3 linked regions of the Sus scrofa genome follow. The protein of the gene in region 1 purifies or fractionates together with the protein of each later gene. This does not show direct contact. Links are inferred from orthologs where the notes say so. Each region holds a gene or a part of one and is shown in the gene's direction. Other genes may lie near its edges. The genes, in order: ARPC2, ARPC5L and ARPC1A.

Region 1 (11,360 bases):
CTGTCTTGCTTGCAGATGGAGCCAATGCGGCTAGTCCCTTTTGAGTAGCGAGATACTCAACAACTCATCTTGCCCATACACTCAGTATCCACTCAGCTCTTTGGAATATCATCCCTAACTATGAACAGGCTGCTAAAATAGCCAGAGCTTTTTTAAATTAAATTTTATTAGAGTATACCTGATTTACAATATTGTGTACATATTTTAGGCATACAGCAATGTGAATCAGTTATATATATATATATATATATATATATATATATATATACACACACACACACATAGAGCCATTCTTTTCCAGATTCTTTTCTTGTACAGGTCACTACAGTGCGTTGATTTCCCTGTACTACACAGTAGATCCTTGTTACTCATCCATTCCATATATAGTAGTGTGCATATGTCAATCCTGACTTCCCATTTTATCCCTCCCTCCACTGTTTTCCCTTTGGAAACATAAATTTGGTTTCAAAATCTTTGACTCTGATTCTGTTTCGTTAACAAGTTCCCTGTAACATTCTGTTCAATTCCACATATTAGCGATTTCATAGATATTTGTCTATCTCTGTCTGACTTTATAAAGTGGCCAGACTTTTGAAGATAGCCATTAACATAAACAAGAGAGACCAAAATAAAGTAGCATTAAAACAAAACCCCAAAGAAATTGATCAAAGCAAAGAGCTGAAGAAAAACTAAAACAAGCACATTATATCTTCTCCTCAGAGAGAACATATTCCTGTCCATAAAATACAGACAGAATAACACTGGAAAGGGAGTTGGGGTGTGTGTGGGAAAGGTCTTGGGAAGGGAGTTTCCACTGTGGCTCAGTGGGTTAAGAACCTGACACAGTGTCCATGAGGATGCGGGTTCAATCCCTGGCCTCACTCATTGGATTAAGGATCCAGCGTTGCTGCAAGCTGTAGTGTAGATTGTAGATGAAGCTCAGATCCCAAGTTGCTGTGGCTATGGAGTAGACCAGCAGCTACAGCTCCAATATGACCCTTTGCCTGGGAACTTCCATATGACGCAAGTGCAGCCTTAACCCCACCCCCCCAAAAAAAAAGTCTTGGAAATTAAAAATAAGAAAGTTGAAACTTAAAATGGTGATGATAATGACAAGGCAATATCTCAGAAAAATAGAACACATACACACACACAAAAGCAAACAAACAATGAGTATAGGTTCAGTTTTGCAAAATGAAAAGAGTTTTTGGTTGCATTACAATATGAATAAACTTAACACTACTAAACTGTACTTTTAAAAATATGAGATGGGAGTTCCCGTCATGGCACAGCGGAAGTGCATCCGACTAGGAACCACGAGGTTTCTGGTTCGATCCCTGGCCTCACTCAGTGAGATAAGGATCCGGCGCTGCTGTGAGCTGTGGTGTAGGTTGCAAACACAGCTCAGATCCCGAGTTGCTGTGGCTCTGGTGTAGGCCAGCAGCTACAGCTCCAATTAGGCCCCTAGCCTGGGAACCTCCATATGCCGCGGGTGCGGCCCTAAAAAGACAAAAGACAGGAAAAAAAAAAAGGGTGAGATGATAAATTTCATGTTACGTATATTTACCACAATTAAAAATAAAAATCAAACAAACAAACCCAAAGAAACAGAAAATAGAAGAAAAAAATGAAAAGGTCAATCCAGAATTCTAACTTCTAAATAACAGACATTCCAGAAAGAACAAAGAAAATGGAAATTACAAAGGAAATAATCAAAGAAAATTTCCTCCAAAGAGTCACAACAAAGCACATCATTATAAAATTTCCAACCAATAGCCTAAAGAGAAAATCCTAATGCTTTCAGAAATGGAGAAGATATAACGTACAAAGGATCAGGAATATGAATAGGAATCAGAATTTTTACAATAGTAACCCGGGAAGGTAGAAGAAAACTAATAACACCTTTAAAATTATGATGGAAAATTATTTTCAAACTTGAATTCAAAAACCAGCCCAACTATAAATCCAACTACAAATCGTGTTAGAATAAAACTAAGATGTTTTAAAATGTACAGTGATCCAACAGCATATCCCCTATCTCTCTTCCTTACAAAGTTACTAGAGGTGCTTTAGCAAAACAAGGAAGTAAATCAAGGAAGAGGAAGGCATGGGATCCAGGAAATGGGCAAAACCAGCCCAGAACAGCAATGAAGGAAAATTCCAGAGTGGCAACTATACAGCAAGTGTAGGGAGTAGTCAGTCCGGATTGAAACAGGAGGAAGGAGGCTCTGAGACAACGATTCTAGAGAAAAAATGGAACGTATGCATTTGAGTATATGGAAAATATTGCCCAACTCTTGGACAGTCTTAGAGCACTTGCAGGGGTGGAGGCAGCTAACTGTAGATAATATAGAAAATTGACAAGTGAGGAAAAAAGGCAATAATGAACCTTTAAGAAAAATGAAGGGAGGAGTTTCCCTTTTGGTCAACAGGCTAAGAACCTGACATGGTGTCCGTGAGGTGGGTTCAATTCCTGGCCTCGCTCAGTGGGTTAAGGATCCGGCATTGACGCAACCTGCCGTATACGTTGCAGATGTGGCTCAGATCCAGAGTTGATGTGTCTGTAGTATAGGCCAGCAGCTCCAATTCGACCCCTAGCCCGGAAACATCCACATGCCTCAGATGCAGCCATAAAAAGAAAAGAAAAATAATGAAGTGGAACTATATCTAATTTCCTGGGATAAAACATAATGGAAGGAAATATTAAAAAAGAATATATATATATATATGCACATATATAACTGAGTCACTGTTGTACAGCAGAAATTAGCACAACATTGTATATCAACTAATTTTTTTTTTAATGGAAGTCTGTATAAGCTAGAAGGCATGGTTGTAGGGCACCTATTGGCTCACTGGCAAACAATGTTTGCATACATAATTTAAATGCTGATTATACATAATTTAAATATACATAATTTAATATGTATGTGTATATGCAGATTTAAATTATACATAATTTAAATGCTGGTTTGTTTGTTTTTGTTTTGCTTTTTAGGGCTGTACCCGTGGCATATGGAGGTTCCCAGGCAAGGGGTCAAATCAGAGCTGCAGACACCGGCCTAAGCCACAGCCACAGCAACACTAGATCTGAGCTGCATCTTCGACCTACACCACAGTTCACAGCAACACTGGATCCTTAACCCACTGAGCAAGGCCAGGGATCGAACCTGCAACCTCATGGTTCCTAGTCGGATTCATCCCCACTGCACTACAATGGGAACTCCCTAAATACTGATTATTGGGGGGTTTTTTGTTTTGTTTTTGTTTTTGTTTTTTTGTCTTTTTGCCTTTTCTAGGGCCGCTCCTGCGGCATATGGAGGTTCCCAGGCTGAGGGTCCAATAGTAGCTGTAGCCGCCAGCCTACGCCAGAGCCACAGCAACGTGGGATCTGAGCCGCATCTGCAGCCTACACCACAGCTCACAGCAACGCCGGATCCTTAACCCACTGAGAAAGAGCAGGGATTGAACCTGCAACCTCATGGTTCCTAGTCAGGTTCATTAACCACTGCGCCACGACAGAACTCCCTGATTATTGGTTTAACTAAAAATTGTTACATAACAGTGGAGGTGGAGAACAGAAGTGATAGTCATGTTCTTATCTATCATGATAGGAAGCCAACAAATAATCTTTAAAATTAACAAATCAAGAATTAGTAGCGTAAGCATTTATTTAGATATGTGGATCTAATCTGGATGAACATATAAAAGAGTTGAGGCTATTGCCGCTAAAGAGTAGGCCAGGGAACTCCTTCTTCCATTACAAGTCTTTATAGTATATGTAGTCTGCATATACTTTTAGTAATGTATCTGCATTATTTCGTTCAATAAACAATGTTAAAACGTTAGCATAGGCGTTTCCATTGCAGATCAGCAGATTAAGAACCCAACTAGCATCCATGAGGCTATGAGTTCAATCCCTGGCCTTACTCAGTGGGTTAAGGATCCAGTGTTGCCACAAGTGCAGCATAGGTCGCCTATGAGGCTCAGATCTGGCATTGTTGTGGCTGTAGCACAGGCAGGCAGCTGCAACTCCAATTTGCCACAGGTGTGGCCATTAAAAAAATAGAGGGAGTTCCCTTCGTGGCTCAGCGGTTAACGAACCTGACTAGGATCCATGAGGATGCAGGTTCAATCCCTGGCCCCACTCAGTGGGTTAAGATCTGATGTTGCCATGAGCTGTGGTCTAGGTCACAGACACTGCTCTTGAATCCTGAGTTGCTATGCCCATGGCGTAGGAGGGCGGCTGTAGCTCCGATTGGACCCCTAGCCTGGGAACCTCCATAAGCAGCAGGTGTGGCCCTAAAAATCAAGAAAAAAAAGAAAGAAAGAAAGAAAAAAGAAGAAGAAAAAGAGGAATGAAGGAAAGCAGAAAGGAAGCTCTATAGAAGGTCTCTACTAAGTGGATGGAAAATATGACTTGAGTCTTCTGAATTGGAAAAGAAAGCAGGAGCACCCCTAAACAGAAAAAAAGAGAGTTAGCAAATAATTTGGGGGTATTTGCAATGTCTTGAAGTTTATCCATGTCCAGTAAATAAATTCATTTTGAAGAGCTGTCTGGGCCTGATGACAAGAGCTAGTTTTTGTCAATTTTTGCCTCCCTGATACTTTCTTAAGAACACTTAGCAGAAAATAAATCAATACTCCTAAAAAGAGCTCAGCTAAATTTGTTAGATTCTCCCTGGAGAAGGAAAAGTACAAAACCAGGCACACAGGCAGACGCAACACAAAAATGAGTTCATTTTCCTCACACAGATGAGTAAAAAATTATGTCTCTGGCAGAGGTGCTGGGAGGTAAGGCAGAAAAAAATCACGTTTGGGGCACCTAGAGGCATCTCCAGGCACAGAAAGGGAGACAAGAGAGGAACCCAGGGAGGCTTATTCACTTTGGTGACGTCTCATTCCTTTCCTTCTTTGCTCTTTTAACCGATTTGTAGTTACATATCTGAAAGTTTGTTGTCTGTTTCCTTTGCCAGACTATAAGCTCCACGAGGGCGGAACCTCATCTGTTTCAGGCGTCACTGTATCCCCAGCACAGAACAGGAGCCCACTTAACATTTGCTGAGCAAATTAAGGCACGATGGTGCCACTGGACAGCCATTAGTGTGGCATGAGGAAGGATCACACCGACCACAAAGTGAGAGTAAAGACGCCGACTAGGAAATGAAAACAGTGAGCTTCTTGTCAGAAATAACAGGACCTCGTGCGTAGAAGTAAACTCTTCGGGAGTGCAGGATGCAAGCGCTGGACCGCGAGGCAGGCCTCGAGGAATGACAGCTAGCCGGGAGACACACTTTCAACAGCGGGCCGAGGGCGGGGCTGTGGGAAAGTGGAGAGTCGCGGCATCGCGCGTGCGCACGCGCGGCCTCCGCCCCTTCACCTGGTGCGCCTGCGTGCGCGCGCACGAGGGGTCGGAGCGGAAATGGCGCCGCGGGGCCTCGGGGCCGCGCGTCCGGGCGGCGAGCGGAAGTGGGTGTGAGAGCGGAAGTGGCCGGCTGGAGCCGGGGGCTGGGCGGGGACCGAGCTTGTCGGTGAGGCGGCAGCGGCGGCGGCGGCGGCGGCGGCGGCGGCTCGGCAGGCGGGTTCAGGCTTCGGGGGCCAGGTCGGTCGGGTGGGTGGGTGTCTCCACAGTCAGTGCGTGCGCGGGCTAGCACGCGCGTCTTCCCCTTTCCCCCACCCTGGTCCCTTTCCCCTTCTCCCCTAACCTTCCCCACCCAGCCCCCCTCCTCAGGGGGCAGCAGGGCCGCTCCCTCCGTCCTTTCCTCCCTTACCCACCCTCACCCGCCCTTGTTTCTCCTTCCCCTGTCCGGGGCAGCCGCCGCCATGATCCTGCTGGAGGTGAACAACCGCATCATCGAGGAGACGCTCGCGCTCAAGTTCGAGAACGCGGCCGCCGGGTGAGCGCGCGCCTAGGGCCGGTGGGTGGCGGGGGAGGCAAAGTTGACCCCTGCCAATCGTTCAGACCGTCATACGTGGAGTAGGGAGGTGGGAGACCTGGCCGGGTGCAGGGACTGCCCCGGCGGGGTAGACATGGGAGGTGGTTGGGCGCGGCGGGGTGAGGGGCAGAGATGCGTGGGGAGAGGCTCAGAGGAAGGATGCGGAAGCAGTGAGTGGACAGGAGTGCGCGTGCCAAAGAGACCTGTGGGACGTGAGGGTAGCTTGGACCGGAACTCTCGCTGGAGGATCCCATTGCCCTCTGGAGCGAGCAGGGGACCGCTTCCCACCGTATTCTCCCGTCATTGTTCAGAACCCGGAGAGAGCCCATTGGGGATTGGGTTGGAAGGAGTTTTCAGGGATTCCCAGGACTGGAAGAGTGAAGAAGATGTACCCAGAAGAGGCGCAGATCACCACCAGCCTTCTCGCTCCCCACCCCCACCTCCTCGTCTAAAGGAGCCAGAGGGAAAGCTGAAGGCAGGCCCAGTCTTGCAGCCGGAAAACCCGATCTCTCTAGTTTTCCTTCACCGAACCCTTCTGTAACAGACACTGCCTATTTTGTCACATTTCGCAAGCAAAGTTAATACCCCCCCCATCCACACCCCTTCCTTATCACTCCTCTGAGGTTCTATTCTCCTTTCTCCACCCAGTATCCTCTATCTGGTTGTTTATCTTTTTAAGTTCTTGTATCATACCCCTGGCCTGTGATTTCTTCTGTAGTAATTCTGGCCCAGATAACACACTGAAATGCCTTCAGAGCCTGTAACGTTCTTAGATAAACCTGTTTTTAACCATTGGCCCTTTTAAAAATGGGCTTTAGGAGATGTTTCTAAGGCAGCCGTCTCTGTCAAACGCAGAACCAGTAGAAAGACGACCTCCCCCCAAGTTGTTCGCTTGTCTGATACAATATTTAAAACATGAACCAAGGAATTGGTTTTAGCTCCTAATTTTGGATGGCCTGCGGCCAGTCTCTTTGCCTCATTTCCCCATCCCTTGAGGATGGGGCTTCACATCTTGGTTACACAGTGGAGGAAGTAAGTGCAAACTGTTTCTGGCGAACTGGGAACTAGGAATAGGAGAGTAAGTGCTTGAAGAGTCACAGATGGGAGAGTATTGGTGAAGGGGAAATTCTAAGTGGACAAAACGAACTTGTGGCTTGGAGGCATTTTGAAAAAAAAAATGCTTTTAACCAACTGCTTAAATTGAATATATTGTGTCTTCTAATCTCTTTTATAAAGCCATAGATTTTATCTATAAAACAAAGAACAACTTTCCTTGAAGTAACATAGGCAGTGAGCAGTAGCTACTGTTTCCTGTCAGGGGCTGCAGTTACTTATATTTTAGGTTAGCTTGCTTCTTGTCTTCAGCTTTGCTTACCAGTTCCTTTGCATTTTAAATGTTTGAGCGAATCAGCTTAGTGGCTTATTTTGGGTGATTGCTGGGTACTTTTTTGAGCAGTGTAGCACATAGGAGGAAGTTAAATTAACTTCTGCATTTTCACAGATGATCTTAAGTGAATTAATTCGCAAGTTTAAACTAGCAAAAAATGAGACCTGGATGGTTATAAGCTGATCTACAAGATATATCCCTGTGCATTTTCAAGTAGAAGCATGCCTTGTAGTGTAAGAGTATATTCACATCTACTTGTGTTTTAATATCTCGTGATTCTGAAATGTAGCCCCTTATAGAGCTTCAACTCTTTTCCCTTTTAGAATAGTTCGCTTAAAAAGATTTACTAATCATTTCAGCAGGAATAAAGTAGTCACTCAAGTCCGGAAGGGATAAGTTAGAATTTCTGGGCCTTTTTTTTTTTTAACAAAGTATATGTTGTGGCAATGTCAAATAGTGGAACAGGGCAGCAAGGTTTTGGCTTTTACTCTGGCCCATCTTCCCTTTGAGATGTGATTTTAAATAAGTGGGCTCAAAGCATGTTCTGCTGGAAAGCACTTTGAAAATCTTTCGAAAGAGACCATGATATTCAGCCTCGAAGGCAGGGCTTTCCTGGGATTGCACATGTACCTTTTAGCAGAAGCCTGCCTCTAGAAGGAATGTGAATTTCCAGGCATACCACCAGTAAGGTGAGGCGGCAGTGAAGTAGTTAAGTATTTATCAAAGCGCAGGCCTAGCCAGAACTTCCAGAGAAGGCTATCTGGTGTGATAATCATAAACATTTATGGGGTTCTGCCAGTGCTCAGCACCAGGCAGGAACAGAAAAGAGGGGCCTTTCTGAGAGAGTCTGTAAGAAAGTTACAGAGGAGTGTTGGGGTGGACATTAAAGAAAGGCAGTAGCTTGGAGGAGAAACCCTGGAGATTGGAAAGGCTTGGGAACCTGCTGGGAGAGGTCAGCCCCTCCCTGCTTTACACTTCTCAGCAAATCAGTTGGGGAAATTAGATTCACAGTGGCCTTCCCCACAGTGGACCTTCCAACTCTGTGATGTCCAGTAATGATAGCCAGCAGCTGTGTGTGGTAGTTAAGTTTAAATAAAAATTGAAGTGAATTAAAATTAAGCTCCTCAGTTACACTAGCCACAGGTCGAGGCTCAGTTGCCGTGTGTGGCTAGTAGCAGCCGTATTTGGGCAGCACAGATAGAGAGCATTTCCACTATTGCTGAAAGTCCTATTGGATAACACTGCTCCAGCTACTGAAAATGTAAGCATGAGATCGTCTTAAAAATAGTTCTGTGGTATATACTTGAGAGTACAGTTATAGTAATTTTGCTTTTGAAGTTGGTCTTTTTTTGAATGGTACCTCTCAGAGCATGGTAATGGATTTATGGTAGGTCCGTCTCTGTGGGCCTATCATAGTGTACCCATGCTAGAGTAGACTGCAGCCTCAAACCACTGCTCAGCCTCCTTACCTGTGGGCTGCGAGCACTGAAGGGAGTTTGTACAGTGTGAAAATAAGATGATGCCTCTCATCATCCTGCTGAATCTTGCCTGTGACATCCTACTAAAAGCCTAAATCTCCTTTGGGTAAAGTAGTTCTGTTATCTGAACTATTTAAGAATGCATTTGGTCATGACAGTGTTTTAATTTGGAGGCAGTTCCAACAAAGCCTTAAGTAAGATTCCAAACAAATTACTTTTATTTTTTCCTACCACACACACTTATTGGAATGATTTATATATCCTCACAAAATGATCATTATTGGTAAATTGTCTTCCCAACAGCCTCCAAGCTAGGAGAATGTGGCTAATTGAGCAATGCTCAACACTGCAGATAACCTCACGTGTAGGTCTAGTTAGTAGTGTTTGGTATTTTGGCTTTTTCATTTAGGAATTCTTACCCCAACCTCCAATTAAAGCAGAAGTAATCTGGGAAATTAATTTAATTCTTTTGTTAGTGTATACACCAAGAACTCTTACAGCTTCAAAGCTAGGCTTGTCAGCGTAGCTAGAGTTATGAGTCTACAATTGAGGAAATGCTGTCAGATTCGAATAGCTGTTGATTTTAAGTGCACACTGGCTCCTTGCCACAGCTGTGCATATTGTGGGGCGCTGTGGTTCTGTGAGGGGGAGTGAAGCTCGGTAAGCAAGCCGTGCCAGTTGGGGTGGGCGAGGACTGGAGGAGGAGAAATTTGAGAAAGGAATAAATTAAATCTTGCTGATACCTTGTTCTCATTCCCGAATATGCTGCGTATGTCCTCAGAGAGACAGACTGGTTTGAAGGGGTTTGGAATTAGGACATTGTTCAAGCATTTAGAAGAAATTGAACATAGTGGCTGACTTGCTGAGATGACCTGGTTGGTCTTTTTACAGGTCTCTGTAGTTACCCACTGCTGCCCATCCTCTGACCTCCCTGGGGCCACTTTGGGCACGAAGCCCCCTCAGAGCTACACTCCACCAAACCTTTGACTCCTTAGGGCAGGGTCTGTCATTTTAGTCATCTTTGTTTCCCCAGCGTTCTTGGTGTGTGTCTAGTCAGCTCAGTAAGTGTTCTCTTGAAGCAATGGATGAAGCCAGGTAGAATGGCTCATAGTTTCTTTAGGAGATTATCACTTTTCTGACATTGGGTGAGTCAGCTTTTGGGGAGTGGGACCACTTCTTACCTAATATGACCCATTTTTGTAGGCTTTACTCAAAAAGAATGGTAGGAGCCCTAGAGAGGACCTAAAGGAGAGTGATCAAAAACTTTATGGTGAGATAATGAGCAGAATTCAATAATTTCTCTAATTCCGATTCTGCACATGGAAGGAATAACTAGAAGAGGGACATAAATGCACAAATGGGGACCTGGATGCATTTGGGAGTAAAAACTCCAAAATCCTTAATGAGAAAAGAGGATTGGATAACAGTTGGAGTTCTTTATTGACTGATTAGTGACATTCTAGAAGCTTCCTTAGAAAAAGGATAGAAGGAATTTTTCCTAAAGGATTTTAAGAATGGCTCTTGAAACCCATCTGAATGAACTGAATATATTTTAGTGTCATATGCTGTCCAGTCAGTAACCAGCTGGCCTATTCTGGGATTCCAGACATTACAATATTCTGACACTAATAGAGTTCTGTTTCTCCTTGCTCTGCTGACCAGTACCTAATTCTGAGGGTTAGCACAATCCCAAAAGCTCTCTCAACCACTGCTTCAAAGTCTGATCTCCTCTCACTCCACCCAAAAGAAAAACTAATTCATTGATCACCTTCCAGAACCGTGCACTTTGCAGTAAGCTTTTAGTTTCACTTCCTTTCATAATGTGCCTATGTAGCAGATAGCAGTTCTGATTTACAGTTGGCAAAACTGGGACTCTTGGAAGTTGCTGAGGGAGTAGACTCTGTATGAGTGCAGGCACCCTTCCCTGCTGATTCCTGACGTTGTTTAAGATATGTCACACCCAGGCTATAATCATCTCAGTCTGGTACATCTGGGCAAGTGGTCTAGAGATCCTGCCAATGGGCTGCCCTAAGGGCTGTAGGGATTGTTATCTCAGCATATCTGTAACTTAGTCACAAGACTCTTGGGAAACTTTGCTGTCCACATAGCATCTCACTTAGTCTTCACAACAACCTTGTGTGGTAGATATTTTTAATCTCCGTTTTCTAGAAAAGGAACCTTTGGCTTGCGGACATTTGAGTACCGTTGCCTGTGGTTACTTAGCCAGAAAGTGACAGAATTTGAGGTGAAGAGTCAGCTCTGAAAGACGTGCTTTTTCTGTGATGAAACGCACTCTCAGCATCCAAAACTCCAGCAGACAGTAGAACAGAAAACCATTTACCTTTTTGGCCTATTAAATGGTATCCTTCTCTCCAGACAAGTCAGTCTTAACCCCCGCTAGCTCACAATTTTAAACCACAAAAGTAAATAACAGATACCCAGAATTATCACCGTTCCAGGTCTCGGAATTGTGATATATTTCCCACTCCATGCAGTCTCCTGGTTGGGGCACAGGCCTCTGACTTCCAGAAGACTTTCTGGGAAGACTTCTTTGGCCTG
Region 2 (9,987 bases), on another chromosome or scaffold:
ACTCAGCTTGGCAAGTCGAACCCATTTGACTGCCTTTGGGAGGAGTCCTGCAGTGTTCCTCCAGTGGGCCTTGAAACAAAAACCTTCAGACATTTTTTGTTTGAACAAATGTGTTTTCAAAGATGGGGATTCAAACTTGGATTTCCTGCCCCATCAGGATCACCTTTCTTACCCCATTGGTGAAATGGAGTTATGAGAAGGTACCCATGAGGGAACCTTGATTCTGCAGTCTGGTGCAGAACCTGGCCTGTGGGCAGGCATTGCCGAAAGGGCTCCAGAGTCAGGCCTGTGGCTCAGACCATCCACAGAAGGGGAGAACAAGGCCTGTTTATCTGCTGTCTTCGTCCTGGTGCTGTAGGGACTTATCAAAGGTCATGTCTTGGTTATGCTTCTGATGTGATAGGTTCCTTGAGGCTGCTTGGAGGCAGGGGATGGTAGTTTCTTCACTAATGGCAGTGTCAGAAACCTGGTTACCACGGAGGATGTACTTCTTGGGATTGGGGAAAGGGAGGTTAGCAGATGAGAACGGAAATCCTGGCAAATGTAGGGCCGGGAAGGGAGGAGGAAGGAACTAATATTTGCTGAGTCCTTACCGTGTGCCAGGTATTGGATTTACATTAGATTAATAAACTATAGAACAGGTTTCTAGGAGTCTTAGGACAGAGCAAGGGGAGTAGGGATAGGCGTTGATGGGGGACGGGGGTGTGGGGAGTAAGCCTGTCCTAGTGCGTAGAGGGAGGCCTGTGGTGATGGGAGATCACACAGATGAAATGGAGCATGGGCTGCACATCCGCACACACCCAGCTCAGTCATGCTCTGGCTCTGTGACTTTGAGCAGATCTCATTCGCTCTGTGACCCTCGGCATCTACCTCTGTGAAAGGGAGGAGAACCAAGCTTGGCTTACAGGTTCAACAGCGGCATCACCGGACAACATGCCAGAAGGCTTCAGCACAGGGCTGGACACACAGCAAGTGTCCTGGATGTGCACCTAGGGTCTGTGCGTGGCGTGGCAGCCAGAGGTTGTAGAAAGAGCTTGGCTTTGGAATCAGGCATACTTGGGTTTGAAGGCCACCTGGACAGCTTAGCTTTGTGACCCTGGGCAGGTCATTTTCCTTCTTTGAGCCTCAGATTCATTGCCTTTAAAATCAGAATAATCACTCTTGTCACAAAGAACTGTTAGCAGGGATGAGATTACATGTGAAAACACCTGGGCACAGGCTCTGAGCCCTTGTAGGGATTTTTAAGCACTAGATCCTTTTCTTGCTTGCTGAGGTACCTTTTGGTCCCTTGGAGCGGGAATCTGGCAAGAGCAGTGGTTTTGAGTGATTTTGCACTCTCCTCCCCCTAAAGAAATTTGTCTATTTTTGGACATATTTTGATCGTTACAACTTGGGGGGTGCTACTGGGATCCAGTGCAGAGAGGCCAGGGATGCTGGTAAATTGTATGATGCACAGGGTAGACCCTACATCAGTCATCTGGTCTAAAATGTCAGCAGTGCTGTGGTTGAGAAACCCTGATCTACAGGTGACTAGGTGCTGAGTCTGGAGGCCGGCTTGATAAATGGTAGGCCCCTCCTCGCTCCCCAGACCCCTCAGCCGCTGGTGGCCCTGCCTGTCAACACCTGCAGTGAATGCTTGGTAGACAGGCACCACAGCGAGATTAACTCTAGAGCAGTGACTCTTTTTGCCCCCTGGACTGGTTATCCTACCCTTATCCATTCATCTTCTGAAATATTTTGTTTCCCAGCCATGCTGGTTAGTGAAGAGTGCCAGCCCACGTTTCCTCTTAAGGCTCTGGGACTCTGCTCATTGCTCTGGGATGCCAAATTAGAAAAGAGTTCTGAGGTAGAAGTTATAAGTGGCTGGTATCAGGCTGGCCCTCACCTGGCTGGGAAAAAGGAATTCCAAAGCTGACAGATATGGGGGGTGTGGGAGAGTGGGCTGCCTCAAATTGGAAGGTAGGTCAGAGCCCAGCAGGGTGCTAGGGAGCCCGCAGGGGTGGCTCCCTGGCTGTATGGACCCGGCTCAGTCAAGATGGAGGCCTCACTAGGGAAGACCAGGGACTCAGCTTTGCTAGGGAGGCTGTCTGTTCACACGTGGGTATCGCTGCAGGAAGAGGAGGAGAGACCCCGATTGGGTAGAAGCCATTTCTTGTTCTATTTTTGAAGCCTTTTGGCTGAAGCCAGTGTTTCAGATGAGGAAATGAAAGTCAGCTGATGTAATTCAGTTTAAAATAGGTGTCACCTTTGGGGACCTAACCCAGATTGTAATTTTCTTTTGTGTGCTGGGTATTCTAAGCTCAGCAAAGCATGTGTCAGGACTCCAACTAAGGTTTGGGAAATGTGTGTGTAGGGGGGGATTGGTTCGTTTTGTTGGCAGAAGGCTCTTCTAGGTTATTAAATACCCCTCAGTTGGGACCCCACTGGCCTGGATAGGTCTTGGAAGATAAAAGTTTTAGCACATCTTAATTTCTTCAGTAGTTTACCTGAGACAAACATTGGATTAAGAGTTAGGAGACTTCCGTTTGTGCCTTCATTCTTCCCTTTTAAGAAGAGAGGATGAGAATGGTAACTTCACACAGTGATCACGAGGGTCTAGTAGGGCACTTATGGTGGCTGGTGCCGAGCAGGTGCAATCCAGCTCAGTCAGATTTTGTGCAAATTTCCCCAAGGGGGCAGTTGCTTTGCTGCTACCTTCCAGAGAGTGCATGCTTGTGTGTGTGTCCACACTGGCTTTGAAGGGGAAGGTTTAGGGGTGGCAGGAGGGCTTGCAGGGTTGGTAGAAATACCCCTTCCGCCCTCCGTGTGGCTCAGGAGAGCTGCAGGTGACCCTCTAATCAAGCTGTGCCTGCTTGGAAGCTGCAGGGGGAGGTGGGTGGATGTGGATAAGATGCCATTTGACTCTCAAGTTCTTTTTGACATGAGTTCATTAATAAAAGCATGGACATGCTAGAGCATAGCCATCCTTAACTGGAGATGCACAGGGGACATGCTTCGGGCATTTCACGCAGCCTTACGGAACTCCCCCGTCAACACCAAGAATCAAGCTGTGAAGGTAAACTGGGTCGAGCTGCAGCTCTTGTTGGGTGGTGTTGGGACCAGGGCTGTGGTTGTCCAGTGTGAACTCGCTGGGGCTCTGGACAGCGTCTGTTTCATCACTGCACCAGCGAGTATCTGCTAGGAGAGTGCATTGGCACTGGGCAGTGTTTCCACGAAAGCCTCCTGGTGCTCCTGTACCAGAGCTGTCAGTGTTTCCCCAAAGAAACGTTCACTTCCGAACCAGGCCCTCATGGGGTGAGAAGTCAGCCCAGCCCTTCCTGATGAACAAAACTATAAATTAGCTTGCCATGTGGGACGTAGCAGTGCTTTTATAAGCTATTGAATAGGCTTTATTTGCAAAAGGGTTTTTAGTGCTTTTATGATCTGCCTCTTAAAAACTAGGCAGACGATATAGCTGTGCAGACTGCAGAACTTAGGCCATCTAAAATCTCATTGCTGAGACTATCTAAAATTTGGTTCAGAGAAAGGGGTCTCTTTTTTTGTCTTTTTAGGGTTGCACCTGTGGCATATGGAACTTCCCAGGCTAGGGTTCGAATTGGAGCTATAGCTGCTGGCCTACACCATAGCTCACAGCAACACTGAATCCTTAACCCACTGAGCAAGGCCACATCCTCATGGATACTAGTTGGGTTCATTACTGCTGAGCCACAATGGGAACTCCCAGGGGTCTCTCTGAAGCTGGAATTCCACCATCTTGTGATGGCCTCTTTTTTTTAAAAAAAAAAAAAAGCTTTTAAGATATTTATTTACTTACTTACTTTTCATCTTTTTCGGGCTGCACCCACAGCATATGGAGTCTGCCATCCCAGGCTATGGGTCAAATCGGAGCTGTAGCTGCTGGCCTAAACCATAGCCACAGCAACATGGATCCGAGTGGCATCTGCACCCTACACCACAGCACACAGCAACGCTGGATCCTTAACCCACTGAGCAAGGCCAGGGATCAAAACTACATCCTCATGGATACTAGTCAGATTCATTTCCTCTGAGCCAGGACGGGAACTCCCTGTGATGGCATCTTGATGTAACCAATTGCTGCACCTCTCAAACCTGGAGCAGAATGGCCCCTTTGTTACCCTGGGGTGAACGAGAGGGAAGCTGCAGCCAAGTAAACGTGTTTTTGTTTGTTTTTTTTTATTTTTATTTTTTTTTTTTTGTCTTTTTGCTATTTCTTTGGGCCGCTCCCATGGCATATGGAGGTTCCCAGGTTAGGGGTCCAATCGGAGCTGTAGCCCCTGGCCTACACCAGAGCCACAGCAACAGGGATCCGAGCCGCGTCTGCGACCTACACCACAGCTCACGGCAACGCCGGATCCTTAACCCACTGAGCAAGGGCAGGGACCGAACCCGCAACCTCATGGTTCCTAGTCGGATTCGTTAACCACTGCGCCACGACGGGAACTCCTGTTTGTTTTTTTAAATCTAGATCTCCACAGTTATGATCTTATAGTGCTTAAGGCCTTGCTGGTGCCATCAAAAATAATGATGCTTGGGAGTTCCCACGTGGGGCTATGGGTTAAGATTCCAGAATTGTCACTGCTGTGGCTTGTTGGGTTGCTGCTGTGGCATGGGTTCGATCCCTGGTCTGGGAACTCTTGTGTGTTGTGGGTGCAGCTAAAAAAAAGTGGTGATGCCTCCCCCAGTAAACCACTTATTTCCCCGTCAAGTAAGTGGAATAAAAAAATTATTGGCTTTGAATACTTTGGGATACTTGGAAATTTAAATGAATAAAACAATTTCAGCCTAGTTATTTTTTTAACCATTCCAGATGAGTTAGAAATTGGGCAGTGTTTCTAATGAGTTCTGACTACTTGGTTTGGTGTTTCTGAGCCTGCATTGCGGGACGTGGCTATGCCTGGGCCATGGCTCTGAGCCTCCCTCCCCGCTCTCTTTCCTCTGTAGGAACGGGCCCAGGGTGTGGTGCTGAAAGTGCTTACAAATTTTAAGAGCAGCGAAATTGAGCAGGCTGTGCAGTCACTGGACAGAAATGGCATCGACTTGCTAATGAAGTACATTTATAAAGGGTTTGAGAAGCCCACAGAAAACAGCAGCGCAGTGTTACTCCAGTGGCATGAAAAGGTATGTGAACCCATGGCCTGCTCAGGCAGCCCACCGACTCATCCCAACCCCGGGGTTCACATCAGCAGACCAGGTTATCCAAAACAAACGTAGGAGAGTCTCAGAGGCATGTGAGAGGAAGGGGCCATGCCTCAAGCAACCTGGGACATCTGAGCACTTACCTCTCCCACGGAAGTACGTGGTAGGGGGTCTGCTGTCTCTGAGAGTCGCCATTGCCGTAGCAGCTGGTTTACGCCAGGCAGGCATGGGGTGGGTGACTCGGCGTGGTCAGGTAGCCAGGGAGTCCATGTGAGAGGCAGGCAGGCAGGCTTGCTGGTGGCTGGCGCTCTGTAATACTTTCTGTGGGTTGGTTGAGGTGGTAGTTGTGGGTCTTAGATGCAGGGCTGCATCCTCTGGTTAGCTCTGAGGGCTTCCTGCTCCGGCCTCAGCCTCCCCAGGCCGGAGCGGGCAGTACCAGAAAGCTTGGCAGTCGCTCAGCAGGACCTTCATCCACCTGATGCAGGAAAAGCTGTGCCTGACCTTGGCTGGGGTCAGTACAAAAGCAAGGCCTTTCATCAAGCCTGTGTCCTGCCTGTGTGCCACTGTCCTCTGCCCTGTAGAGCTCCAGGAAGCCTGCCTGTCATTAAAGGGGACCCGGCTAGTACCAACTCAAATGCCTTCCTAAAAGGCTCTGTTGAATTTTAAGGGCGTGGCCCTCACTGAGGGGTCAGTCGCTTGGGCAGCCTCAGGGCTGGGCTGGGGTGTGGACTTCCGTCTTGCTGGTGGGTGTGTCCTGCCCGCTCTGGAAAGTGGGCTCCTAGGCTCAGTGGCTCAGGGTGACCATGGTGCTCAGGGGAACTGGGCAAGCCCTCTGCCCCTTTTAAAGTAAAGCAGCTTGGTGCTCAGCCTTGCTGACATTTCAGCTCTTAATGGGCTAGTGTCTGTCTAAGCACTTCCGGCTGCGCCTGTGGGCTGGTCACCATCAGCTTGTCAGAGGGAAACTGGAGGGCTCTGTATGTTGGTAACAATGTTCTCAGGCCCAGTTCTGCTGCCTCAACAGCTAGCAGCTCTTGGGGGCCCTTGGTTCCAGGACAGGGCTCTGTCCATAGGACGTGGGCCCCGCTGGCACCTCCTAACTGTCCTCGCCCAGGAATCCTTTTTCAGAGGGTCTGCTGCATGTTGGGAGTGCACGGTCCCATCTCCCCTGCTAAGTTAGGCTCCCCTTGGCCAACCAGGTCTCATTTGACACCTTTCTTTTCCTGCCCCCACAGGCATTAGCAGTAGGAGGACTAGGCTCCATTATAAGAGTTCTTACAGCAAGAAAGACTGTTTAAAACAAAAACAAACAAACAAAAAAGACTCATGTTACCTTGAGAAGAATTTTGGATGCACAGGCTGGCGAAGAAGGGATTGACAATCGGCCATCTTCCTAGCAACTCCCAACTAAACAATTTCAGGACATGCATCCGCTGAAGTGTATTTTATTTTCAAGGTGGAGGGAGAAATCGTCTTACTGTTTCCTAAATCCTTTGCAGGATCTGATAGTCTATGCCTTTGTCCGCGAGTAATGCAGAACTGACATTGTGACTGTCTGCCAGAGTGGCTGGCCATCATTGGTCGGTCAGGTGTACCTGTGTGCACTGCCTGTTAAAAACAGGGGAGGGATGATTTGGGCAGGTGCAGATCCAAGGGCTGCGGTAAAGGGAGAGCTTGGTTTTTTGAAGTGGAAAACCCCCGAGGGTTTGTACAGACAGCCCATCCTCCCAGAGAAGGCGGGCTCTCTTGGGTTCATTGTAAAGTGCCTGCTGCATCAATAAAGCTCTTGGCTTATTAGTATATAACTCTGTGGTGTGTTTAGTGTATATTAAGAAAAAAAAAAAAAAAAAGAGTAATGAATGAGATGGTAGTGAATGCGAGGTTGCCTGTCCTGGGCACTGGATGTGGAGGGGCAGACGTGTGTCCCTGCTGACCACCCTAGGGAGGGAGTGTGGCAGTCCAGCCACCATAGTACCTCAGGCCTGAACTGCAGACATGTTTTGCTGCTACAGAGAGATGTTTTGCTGAATAACTATTCCTTTTACTCATTTGATCTGTATGTCATTTTGGAGTTTAATAAAGGGCCAGACATTCAATAATTGACCTAAACTTTCAAAGTCTTCAGTTTGTGTGGCTGCACTTGGACTCTTGAGAGTTCAGGGCTCAGAAGGGCCCAGGCACCATGTCCTGACGCTGGGTTCAGCTGTTTGGCAGGAACACTGCGATGTTGAGTTTTTTTGGTTTATTTTGTCTTCGTAGGGCCGAACCCGCAGCATATGGAAGTTCCCAGGCTATGGGGTTGAATCAGAGCTATAACTGCTGGCCTACTCCACAGCTACAAGCCATAGCAACGCGAGATCCGAGCCATGTCTGACCTGCACCACAACTCACGGCAACGCTGGATCCTTAACCTGCTGAGCAAGGCCGGGTATCAAAACCGTGTACGCGTGGATTCTAGTCAGGTTCGCTACCACTGAGCCACATGAGAACTCTAAGGAATTTTCTTCAAAGGATTAAGAGCCAGAGACAGGTAGCAATCAGCCTACAGATATAATAGGAACATTTTGTTCCCTGTAACCACTAACAATAAGCCCCTCTGAAGAGCAGAGGTGCTTTTCTTTCCTTTTTAGCACATGTGACTACACTTTGCATTCAATTAAAGCTAAGGACCCCATTCACATTTCTAAAGCTCAACCCCATCATGCGGGCCTTGAGATGGATGTTGACCACAGTGACAATCCTCCCGGCTCCTCTGCAGGACCCCCTACCCTTCCTGGGAGGGAACACTAGGCTGCCGGCTTCATTAAACTAAATATAAAGTTTATTCAGCCAGATCCAGTCGGGGGAGGCTCTTTCTGAAAGACATGTTCCACAGCCCCTACAGCCCTTTAAGTTCTGAATCCGAGACACAATGTGCTAAATTTAACCAGTCAAAGAAACACTGAAACACCAAACTGTATCAAGTAAAACCCACTGCATCTGGATGGAAGAGCTTTAATCAAAAAGTGTATTGCACCACAAGTGAATTCTCTACAGCAGTTTTAGATAATACAATCCCTATTTACAACATGGAGGCCAAGATCAAGATCCAATGCTCATATAAAGGGCGATGCATACTGTCTCTATCACAGAATGTTTTATACAAGTGAAAGTGCATGACATCACTTAGAATATTTACTCCACTCTCCTCTTAAAGCTGACAGAACTTCAACATGCAGGAGGAAAGCCTAATCAGAATGAACCCTCCCTGTGCAAGTACAGACTGAGGCATGGACCCCATGACCACGCATAAAACCGCCGTGTACGTGGGTGGGGGTGAGACCAGCTGCAGAGGCCACAGAGGAGCCGAGTGGGGCTCCTGTGGCTATACTCTTGTTGCCTCTGGCAAGCCCTGAACTACCCAAACTTTGGGAGTCTTTCCTGGAACAGCTAACTCTTACTCATCAAAGTTAACGGAACAGAAGGGACTCCTGTTTGGTGTCCCCACCAGATAAATGGAAAAAGCATCCTAGACAAGGATCAGACACCTGCAGGGGGAGCCACAGGAGGAGGTAGGTAATGGAGAGCGGGTCCCTTGGATGGCAGAGCCCCAGCTGGGACAAGGGTAATGCTGCCCTTGCGTGGTGCTTCTAGGTCCGTGGCATGTTACAGGTTAACTGCAAATCCTTGTTTTTCTGTGAGAAATACTTTGTATCTTAACCCTAAACATAATTTTACATCATTGGATAACTGATAGTAAAGTTAGGAGCTCCAGTTATTAATGCAGTTTTTTATTTAACCAGTAGAACTTTCATCAGACTATTCCATCAATATATGATTTCCCTTTAGACTCAATATTGTGGCTTATCTAGGGCAAGCATGTTCCCTTTTCTTTAATGATAATGAACAGAGTTTTCATCAGTCACTTCAGAGCCATCTGCGTGCTCTCCAGTACTGCAGCTGGAGGCTGTCTGGACACCATACGTCACTGTAGTGTCCTCTTAAATTATGTGGGGGAAGGACGACTGGGAGGGATGGTGGCTCCACACACAAGGCAGACTGCCTCCTATGTTTTGGTCAAGGCCGGGGACGAGGGTAGGGACAGCTGCTGCTTTTCTGAATACAGTGGACTGTCCTTAGTAGTAGAAAACTTGTGATCAGCATCTGCTCAGTGTTACAACACAGAAATGAGAGCAAATAAGCAAACGAAACACCACCACTGCCTCAGAGGGAAACAGATGCCACAGATTGCTAGTGGCGTCACAAAGGGACGGGGTCCCAATCTCAGAAAGAATTTCCTCTCGATGCTCTCATTTTCCTTTAAGAACACCAGTCAGATGGATTTTATAGTACAGAGGACGTGTTTATAATAGCTTGAGCTATAAAAAATAGTTTAAAATGGTTTACCAGCAACCTATCCAAGACACATTCATTAAAAAGGCAATTGAGTGTATTTGGTACTAAGGATCTTCTTACATATTTGCTAGTTTTCTTCAGTAAAATGAGATACGGTCATAAAGGTGCATATTCATTAATTCACATGGCCCCAGAATACCTTAGAGATGGACACATCTAAAGTTCTAGGTGGTTTGAGAAACAAGGTGGAATAACGTTTCCCAGAGAGAAAGGATTAAAAAACCTCTTAAACTCATCCGAACCCAAACATCCTAACAGGGAAGGGGAGTTTTTAAAAGCCAGCCCCACCACGTTGGCGCTTCGTGGCAGAAGCAGGTGGGTTTGGCCTGCTGGGCATTGTTTGGAAGGGCTGTCTTTGTCCAGCATCGCCACTACCCAATGCAGCAGCCGCCTTCCCTCTGACATGCTGATGGCTTCAGCTTTAAGTGCTAACATTGA
Region 3 (9,765 bases), on another chromosome or scaffold:
TTAAATGAGACTGTAAAATTGTGTTTTGTCCAAAAAGCTTCATTTTTCTTCTCTTACATCTAGAAGAGAAATGCGATGTAATCTTGATATTTTCAATTATTGTGTTCAGAGTTGGGTATGATAGGATTTTTCTCTCTGACGAACCTTTTGCGTTGACTTTTACTGGGGTGATGTTCAGGGGAAGAGTAACGGAACCCTCTAGACGTTCTCTTTGAGAGAACTATTAAGTGCAAATTGTACGTCTTTTTCAAATTTTTTTTCAGTTTTTTTAAGTTTTATTGAAGTAGAGACCATTTGCACATGTTCATTTCTGTTGTACAGCAGAGTGACTCAGTTACGCGTGTATACATTCTTTCTCACATTCTTTTCCATTGTGGTTTATCACAGGGTGTTGAATATCATTCCCTGTGCTCTGCAGTAGGATCCGTCGTGTATCCTATGTATACTGGCTTGCCTCTGCTAACCCCAAAACTCCTTCCATCTAGTCCTTCCATCTCCCTTGGCGACGACAAGTCTGTTCTCTGTTTCTCAGATAGGTTCGTTTAGGCCTTTTTGTGTGTATGTCTTTTTAGGGCCGCACCTGCAGCATATGGAAGTTCCCAGGCTAGGGCTTGAATTGGAGCTGCAGCTACCACCCTACCCCACAGCCACAGCAACCCCAGATCCAAGCCACATCTGTGACCTACACCACAGCCCACAGCAACCCACCGAGCGGGGCCGAGGATCAAACCCACATCCTCATAGATACTAAGTGGGTTCCTTAGCACTGAGCCACGGTGGGAGCTCCACTTGTGCTGTATGTTGGATTCCACCTTTAAATGATATCATGTGATGTTCATCTTTCTTTTCTGCTGCGCAGCTCATGCTTTCCGTCGTGTCCAGTGGGAAGGGCCACTGGGCTTAAAAGAGGCTGGAAATGTCTATACTGTACGATAAGTAGTCATTTGAAGGCAGAGCAGAACTTTGCTCCACACTTTTCAAGTTTCTCTGTCTGGAGTGATTTTCTTTTTTTTTTTTTTTTTTTTTGTCTTTTTGCTATTTCTTGGGCCTCTCCCGCGGCATATGGAGGTTCCCAGGCTAGGGGTCGAATCGGAGCTATAGCCACCGGCCTACACCAGAGGCACAGCAACGCGGGATCCGAGCCGCGTCTGCAACCCACACCACAGCTCATGGCAACGCCGGATCCTTAAACCACTGAGCAAGGGCAGGGACCGAACCCACAACCTGTGTTCCTAGTCGGATTTGCTAACCACTGCGCCACGACGGGAACTCCTGGAGTGATTTTCAAAATTAATTTCTGTGAATTTCTTTTTCATTTTATTTATTTATTTATTTATTTATTTATTTATTTATTTATGCTTTTTAGGGCTGCACCTGCAGTATATGGAGGTTCCCAGGCTAGGGGTCTAATCGGAGTTACAGCTGCCGGCCTACGCCACAGCCACAGCAACGTCAGATCTGAGCCTCGTCTGCAACCTACACCATAGCTCACGACAACACCGGATCCTTAACCCACTGAGCAGGGCCAGGGATCAAACCTGCAACCTCATGATTCCTAGTCAGAGTTGTTTCTGCTGTGCCACCTTGGGAACTCCTGTGAATTTCTCTTAAGTTTCTCTGCCAACTATCTGGAAGGAAACAGCTCTCATTGCCTCTTGAGACTTCTAGATTAAAAATAAAAACACCTTTGCATATTGGCATGACTACTTTATTTGCAGATATTAAATCCTGGAACAAGGTCAGCAGACTTTCTCTAAGGAACCAGAGAGTATAAATTTGCTCTGAGTGGCCATACAATCTCCATCACAGGTACTCAGCTCTGCCATCGTGGCCACAGGCTGCTGTGGGCAGTGTGGAGATAAATGAGCATGAATGTGTTTCAGTAAAACTTTATGGACACTTGGAGTTCCCATCATGGCACAGCAGAAATGAACCCGACTCAGAACCATGAGGTTATGGGTTCGATCCCAGGCCTCGCTCAGTGGGTTGAGGATCTAGCGTTGCCGTGAGCTGTGGTGTGGGTCGCAGTCACGGCTTGGATCCTGCATTGCTGAGGCTGTGGTGTAGGCCGGCAGCTACAGCTGATTTGACCCCTAGCCTAGGAACCTCCATATGCCATGGGAGCAACCCTAGAAAAGGCAAAAAGACAAAAATACAAAACTTGGAGTTCCTGTCATGGTGCAGCAGAAACGAATCTGACTAGGAACCAGGAGGTTGCGGGTTCGATCCCTGGCCTCACTCAGTGGGTTAAGGATCCGGTGTTGCCGTAAACTGTGGTGTAACACGCCACAGACAGGCTCGGATCTGGCATTGCTGTAGCTCTGATTAGACCCCCCCCCCGGCCTGGGAACCTTCATATGCCGTGGCTGCGGCTCTAAAAAGCAAAAAAAAAAAAAAAAAAAAAAACGTTATGGGGAGTTCCCGTCGTGGCGCAGTGGTTAACGAATCCAACTAGGACCCATGAGGTTGCGGGTTCGGTCCCTGGCCTTGCTCAGTGGTTTAAGGATCCGACATTGCCATGAGCTGTGGTGTGGGTCGCAGTTGCGGCTCGGATCCCGCGTTGCTGTGGCTTTGGTGTAGGCCGGTGGCTACAGCTCCAATTCGACCCCTAACCTCCATATGCCGCAGGAGCGGCCCAAGAAATAGCAAAAAAAAAACAAAAAAACAAAAAACTTTATGGACACTGAAGTGTGAATTTCACATAATTTTCACATAATTAAATAGTAATCTTTTGATTTTTTTCCAACCATTTAAAACTGTAAACGTCAGGGGGAGTGGGATGGATGGGAGTTTGGGGTTAGCAGAAGCCGACTGTTAGATTGAGAAATTTAGAATGGTTAGGCTGTGAGACCCTGCTGTATTCACGGGGAACTCTTATGCAGTCTCCTGGCACAGAGCATGATGGAAAATAATATTCTTTAAAAAGAATGTATATTTATCATGACCGGGTCCCTGTGCTGTACAGCAGAAATTGGCACAACATGGTAAATCTACTACAATCCAAAAAAAACCACAAACCGTAAAAGTCATTTTTTAGCTCACATAGATTGTACAAAAACAGGTGAAGTGTGCCATCCCCTTCCCCAGAGGGAATGTTCTAGACATTTCAGAGGCGAAAGACATATTATCTAAGCTGTGGAACTGGTTTTCTTGAAAGTTTCTCACACACTGAGACTAATAAGCGAAGCTGTTTCATTAAGATGCTCCTCTGCTTTGCTTCGCTCGGTTGGAATTTTGCGGCGTGTCTGGATGTCCCTGATATTTATAATGATTCAAGTGCGGGGAGAGCGCTTGGCTCCTAAGCCCGGGCCGCCTCAGAGGGCGATGTGGGAGTTTTTGTTTGGAGCCAGTTGGATTTCAGTCATGCCTCCTCCTGCCTCTGGTTTATTGTTTCAGAATTGGTTTCCGTTTCCGTCAGAGCTGTGCTCCTGCCCACTCCCTGCTCCACTCTAGCCTGAAGGGTCCTGCTTCTCCCCGTCCCTCTAATTAACGAGGGTCTTAACTTTTCCCTCTTCTCAGCCTCTTTCTTTTCCGGACACGTGGTCATAAAATGCCCTTGAATAGTTTCAGGGTCAGAGGGCCGCAGACTCCTTCCGATGGGCACCTTACAGGAGCTGATGGGCATTTCGTTTCCTGCCAGTGCTGCTGCGCTCACTTCCGCCACAGACCTTACGGTCTCCCCTGTTTTTGCTTTTTTTCAGGCAAGTGTCTATTTATGAGGTGGACAAGCAAGATTGTCGCAAATTTTGCACTACTGGCATTGACGGAGCCATGACAATTTGGGATTTCAAGGTATCTTCCACCTTTCAGAACAAATCTTGTTTGTGTTAAAACTCTTGCTGTGAGAGGGCTGTGTGTCATTTCTTGGAACCAGCCGTCAAATCCGTGCGCGTCAGAGGGCAGCGCCCTGGGCTTTTCAACACCTGCAAGTTGTAGCGGGAGAAAACGGTGCTCTCTCGATGCGATGGACTCCAGGCTCCTGGAAGTCCATTTGTCATTGCGAACAGCCGAGCGCTGCTGTTTGTCCCAGGCCCTGTGCCGGGCGCCCGTCTAGTTTAACTCTCTGGATCTGTTTTACCATTGACACTAGTTAATCTAATAAATGCTCGCTCGCTGCCTGCTGGGTGCCAGGCGTGGTGCTGGGCATGGAGGATGCTGAGATGAAGGAGCCCTGGGGGCAGGGGGGGCTGGATGGAGCGCAGAAGAAAAGCCACTGCCTCTTTCCGCGCCGAGGAACTGGGTGGGGCTTTGGCACAGGGACTGCCAGCGCCGCAGGGAGGAGACCGTACCTGAGCTGCATCCTTAGCTTGCCCACCACCCGCCCAATCCCGAGGCTGGAGGGAGCAGCCAGGAGGGCGCGCTGCCCTCAGGCACCCAGTTCTCGGGGCTGTGCACAGGGCCTGCGGAACCTGGAGCTGCAGCTGGGAGAAGGCAGTGTGGCCAGGAGGTTCTGGACTAGAGAGATTTGGGGTGTGTGACAGTGAGGGCCAGATGCCAAAGGACTCTGCACCCTCCAGCCTCGGGATTGGGCAGATGGCAGGCAAGAGAAGGCGCCAGGGAGGAGGAGGAGGAGCGGGCCCAGCTCCTGTGTGCAGCTCTGCGGGTTTCACCTCCAGAAGTTAAACACTTAACAGAAGTTTGCCACTGCCTCTGCGGTTCCACGTTGTTTGACGTTTCTGCCTCTGCAAGTCCCTCCCCGCCCTTTTACCTTCGGCCGCTTTACATCCTGGGCATCGCCACCTGTGTGGTTGGCTCCACCTGGGCAGTTAGTGCTCGGCCCTTTAGTCTTTGACAGGCCAGGTCCTTGGAGGTCCCGGTGCATTTTTCTCTCGGCTCACCTCGGGGCACCAGCCGTGTGGAGCGCCCAGGCTGGCTGCATGTGGTCCGCAGAAACCATAGGCGCGCCTGCCATCGGGGCATCTAGGGTTGCTAAGTCCACACGTGCCCTGAGAACAGGAGTGTGCCCAGGGCCTGTGGGCTGCGCCACGGGGACGAGGGAGCACAGGGCCAGCAGGGGGCGCCGTGTCCCGGGAGGGAGAGAGTCCGAGGGGAGGGGGACCTCGCCGGGGAGCCGGGGCTGGTATAGTGGGGTGGGGGGACCCCAGGATGGAGGGTGCTCAGTAATGACGCTGTGCTTCCTGTCGCTCTCCAGACCTTAGAGTCTTCTATCCAGGGCCTTCGGATAATGTGAAGCCGAGCGAGCCTCCCAGATCCAGCACGAGGACGGGCAGCTGCGCGGGGGCAGCGCCGCCGTTCGCAGGATGGGAGGAGAGCCGGCCGCCAGAAACACTGAAGACGCGTGTGGCGAGCCATTGTCGTGTGTTTTGTTTGAGTATAATTGGTGCAAGTGTTGGTTTTTTTAAAAGCAGCAGTGATTTGGGTTTTGTTTTCTGTTTTTTTTTGTTTTGCTGTTTCATTCCATTCTTGACCAAAGCTTCTTTTCAAGTAGTTTATTATGGAAAATTGTCACACTAACTTAAAGGAAGGGGGGAGGTATGTAAATTGTCTGCTAAAAACTTAAATAAAAACACTGAATATGTTTTTGGTTTTGCTTCCTTATATTGTTTGCATTTTTCATACGAATATATGTGTAAATTCTTTGTTAGCCTAGGTAGTTTTTAGGGTAGAATCTTAGATGCTTAGTTTCTTAAATTGAGCCGTCTTGTGCAACCTTGAACACAGAGAACCACTTCTGGAATGCTCTCTCTTAGCCTGGCAGGACTTCTGCAGGAGAGGGAGGTACACTGTTCCCAGCTTGGGTACAGGCACAGAGGAAGCCCCCCTCTGCTCAGCAGCCAGGCCTCTGCCCTGTGCCCTTGGTGGGCGCGGACCAGGCGTGTGCAGGGGGAGAGGAAAGACAGAAGTTGTCGTTTGAGCTTAGAGATGATTGTGCCCGAACGGAGTTATCTTCATCAGAATTAGACACGAAGTTTGACATTTCAAGGCTGAGACTCCAGCTCAAAAGTAAGTGGCTGGGGAGGAACAGGAATACAGTGTAGCCTTGAACTTGGCAGTGTGCCCGGAAGTGGAGCCGGGACCTGAACTCAGCTCGCTGGCGACAGGGCTTCTCCAAAGAGCAGTCTTGCCCATTCGCTGGCCCGTGGGACGCACTACTTCCGCCAGAAGAGAATCGCACCTCCTCACACCTGCCTCTCCCTCCCCGTTTGCTGGAGCATCCTCTGTGGCCGCCGATGGCAGGAGCTCCTGTGCGCGTGTGTTTGTGCCAGTGCGTCGGCAAGGCTGTCGTCGCAGAGCGAGGGTAGACAGAAGCCGGCCGAGTGGCAGGAATGTGCTACCAAGTGCTTTTGAGTTTCATGAGATCGCATGGTTTGGCGAGAAAGCCCAGAGGTTGTTAGAGAAACAATGCATTCCATGAAAGAAACAATAAATGACTACCTTGGCCTCCAAAACTTGAGGCGGAGTCTCATCTTTCATCTTTTTTTAACTAGGTCTGTGTCACACCTGCAGAAGAAGGCCCATCCCGACGTGTCAGCCAGAAACCCTCGGGGCTGTGCCGCAGTGCTGGCGTCTGACACTGGAAGGTCCCATCTCTTCTCACCCTGCCTGTGAGACTCAGACCAGACCTCCGTCCACAGCGACTCCCAATTTGAAGGGTTCCAGGCAGCCCCTGACTGTGCCAGAACACACCGCCCAAAGCGCTTGTTGGAAGCTTTGGTGTCGGATTGTAGTTCTGCCGAGCTGTGTGACCATCAGCAATATAATTAACATCTGTGAGCTCAGTGTCTTCACCTGTAAAATGGCAATAATAAAGGGAGAGCTCCTGTTCCTCAGAAAAGCTGAGGTTTGCGTGCAGGCTTGGCTTTGCCCCATACCAGGCCCTGGAGACCCTTGATAACAGAGCGAAATAGTATGAAGGATTCTGCTAACCAAAACAACAACAACAAATTTTTTTCGAGAATATTCTAGTGGGAAAGCTGGGCTCAGCCTCAGAACCAGGATTAATTGCTCAGACATGACCCCTCCGTTCACAGAGGTGGTTGGAGGTTTCACTCTCACATGTGCCGCCTGAGGCAGTGACGTGAAAGTCGAGGGTTCCCTCAGCGTCTGCAGTGTCGCTGAGGGAACAGTGTCACTCCACATGGAACAGCACCGACAGGCGTATAAATGATCAAGTTATTTGCGTTGTGTGTGTGATTTAAACGCCAGGTGGGGCAGGTAGACTCCTGGCCCCCGAAGACGGCCATGCGCGAATCTCCAGAACCTGTGCGCTTTGCAGATGGGATTAACTTACAGCTCCTGCGCCTCGAACATCCAGGTGGGCCCCACGTACCCACAAGGCTCCTTCCAGGCGGGAGGCAGGCGGGGCAGCGTCTGAGGCCATGAGGAGGCTGAATCACAGGCTGGAGCCTGAGACGGCCACGGGCCTCCGAGAGCTGGAAGGACAGAGCTGATTCTCCCCGGAGTCCCCAGCAGGAACAGCCCCCTGCCTCTGAGACCAGCTGGGGGCCTCTGACCTCCAGAGCCATAGGAGACACTGGTGTGGTCTCAAGCCACCCCGTCTATGGTAAGTTGCTCCAGCAGCAGCGGCAGGAAACGAACCCACGAGGTCAGCTCAGCCAAGGGCACGAAGCACAGCCTGGAGCTTGGAGTTTCTCAAGCTGAGGGGCCGAGCCCACTGATAGGTTGTAAAGTCACGGTGGCCACGGAAACAGGAGAAAGCAACATTCTGTGATGCACGTAGTCAGTTTGGTTTCAGACATACACGGGCCTGTGGCCCAGGCTGTCTATCTGGGGGGGTCAAGGTCAAAAGAGCCATCCAGGGAGAGCCTGGGGGCGGGGGGGGGCCGCTGAGGAAGGCTGCTGGGCCGGGCATGAGGGGAGCTGCGCAGAGGTATGTGCGCTCCTCACAGCACTGCACGGTTGCAACCGAAATTGCCCTTTCTAGAGACGACAAAGCCTGAATTGGAACCTCAGCGGTCTGTCCAGAGCGCCAGGGGAAGCTGCCAAGCACGCTCCCTGCTGCAAGGGCAGGGAGGGGAGAGGCCCTGGGACCCAGCCTGGTCGTCACCACACTCAGGAGCAGGGTGATGTCATTGGAACCAGGAGGGGACCCCCTGGTGATGCCTTGGGGGCGGGGGGCAGTTTTCAGCTGAGCCATGTGCTGCCCATCAGACCTGCCCAGACTGGGCCCCTGGCAAGGCATGGTGGGCGTCTCTGTGCCTCCGTGGCCAATCTCTGCCCTCCGAGGCTTCTGCCACCTCACATGCATGTGTGGCCTTGGGCAAGAGGCCCAGGGTCTCCCCTCTTTCTCATGGGTACGGGGGGGGCAGGTCTTCGATCTCTGAGAGAGACCCATGGTCAGCAATCGGGGCTGGGCGCTTCTGGGAAAGGTCTTTGTCCCTGGCCTCCCACGGCCTTGGCCAGCCCTCCGCCTCCTGCATCCAGACGCCTGGAGCTAGGCTGCCATCTTGTGCCCAGCAGGCAGTAAGGCCAGTGCAGGGGGCAGGAAGGAGCGGAGCGTCAGAAGGAACCTTGACGACCCCAGAGACCCAACCTGGCACCGCCCCTCCGGCTGGGCCTCCCGTTGGCCAGCCCCAGCCTGGAGGCGTCAGCCTGCCTTCCCGGGACAGCTGAGAAGGCCGAAGCGCAGGGAGAGCTCAGCATCTTCCCAGGGCACCGGGGGAGGCAGATTCCAGGAAGAAACAGAAAGCTCGGAGCTGTTCTCGGAACTCCAGATGAAATCCCTCCACCCCCAGGTTCTCCTCACGCGAGCACTTGTTCCACTTCAGGCTTAGAAAACTGTCCCCCCAGGGAGCCGCTGCAAATACACCCCCAAGGCTTCCCAGTTTGAGGTGTGTTTCCCATGTATTATTGGTCTTCCCACTGGGACTGCAGGCCTGTGAGGTGGGCGGTGGGCGGGCAGTGCTGCTCACTTTGCAGATGCAGAAACCCAGGCAAAGCAAGAGTGGCCTGAAGCCAGTTAAGGGGCTGAGCCAGAATCTGGTTCAAATTTCTCACCCCACTTGTTCATTCATTCATTCAGCAGATACTACTCAGGGCCTCCTGTGTGCCAAGCACAGTTCGAGGCCCGGGGAGAGCCGCGTGATTAGTACAAACACGGCTTCTGCTCCCACTAAGCCTGAGTCTTCTCATCAAACCAGCTCAGTTTCACAGCAAGGAAGACAGTCCTCAGGTGTGTGTATTTGTTAGGCTGATTTTCGTGATGCGTTACAGAAAACTTAACAAACCAGCTTCAAAAGGAGATTCCTTGGCTCATGGATCTGAAACCCCCGGAGGCAGGTTGGGCTCAGGCTGCAGGTCAGAGGTCAACCAGGGCTCTGGTCATTTCCTGGATTCTGTCCATTGCCAGCCCTCCACGTGGTCGGCAGCTTGCCTGTGCCTTTTGCACTTACACGCTTAGGTTCCTGCATCTCGCCCGGAAGGCACTGCTCTCCCCTCCCCCTTCATCTGGAGTCCTGGGCTTTGCTTTGACCCTCTCCAGGTCACAGTCCAGGGTGAGGGGGTACTATCAGAGGTGGGGGCTCCATCCCACCTGGGCTCATTTCCTGGGCGTCTGCCAAACTAGGCTGGGTTAAGTGGAAGCCAGGGACACAAAGTGTCGCCTCGGCATTAAGCGGCTCTTGCCCTCATGGGAAGGGGGTTGCTGGTACAGACCATCAGAAACTTCTGATTAAAGCCATCGCTTGGATTTGCCAGGGCTGGAAGGCAGGGGTGGGGTGGGGGGCTGGGGGGGTGCCGATTGGTCACTGTCCTCAGTGTCCCCTCAGAGACAGGAAGGCTCAG

Evidence for each region.
Region 2: the proteins of ARPC2 (region 1) and ARPC5L fractionate together in Homo sapiens (co-fractionation; 7 studies listed by BioGRID and IntAct, with this or other methods). This does not show direct contact. The link is inferred for Sus scrofa from reciprocal best matches to the Homo sapiens genes ARPC2 and ARPC5L.
Region 3: the proteins of ARPC2 (region 1) and ARPC1A purify together in Homo sapiens (affinity purification with mass spectrometry; 8 studies listed by BioGRID and IntAct, counting the BioPlex papers as one, with this or other methods). This does not show direct contact. The link is inferred for Sus scrofa from reciprocal best matches to the Homo sapiens genes ARPC2 and ARPC1A.

The regions. Positions count from the first base shown.
Region 1 is NC_010457.5:120,291,579-120,302,938, forward strand, and holds the start of ARPC2 (actin-related protein 2/3 complex subunit 2), read left to right. Parts: upstream 1-5,543; 5' UTR 5,544-5,602; intron 5,603-5,815; 5' UTR 5,816-5,823; coding exon 5,824-5,897; intron 5,898-11,360. UniProt on the Homo sapiens protein: Actin-binding component of the Arp2/3 complex, a multiprotein complex that mediates actin polymerization upon stimulation by nucleation-promoting factor (NPF).
Region 2 is NC_010443.5:265,647,062-265,657,048, forward strand, and holds the end of ARPC5L (actin-related protein 2/3 complex subunit 5-like protein), read left to right. Parts: intron 1-2,982; coding exon 2,983-3,055; intron 3,056-4,962; coding exon 4,963-5,139; intron 5,140-6,389; coding exon 6,390-6,452; downstream 6,453-9,987. UniProt on the Homo sapiens protein: May function as component of the Arp2/3 complex which is involved in regulation of actin polymerization and together with an activating nucleation-promoting factor (NPF) mediates the formation of branched actin networks.
Region 3 is NC_010445.4:6,318,986-6,328,750, forward strand, and holds the end of ARPC1A (actin-related protein 2/3 complex subunit 1A), read left to right. Parts: intron 1-3,701; coding exon 3,702-3,792; intron 3,793-5,152; coding exon 5,153-5,191; 3' UTR 5,192-5,541; downstream 5,542-9,765. UniProt on the Homo sapiens protein: Probably functions as a component of the Arp2/3 complex which is involved in regulation of actin polymerization and together with an activating nucleation-promoting factor (NPF) mediates the formation of branched actin networks.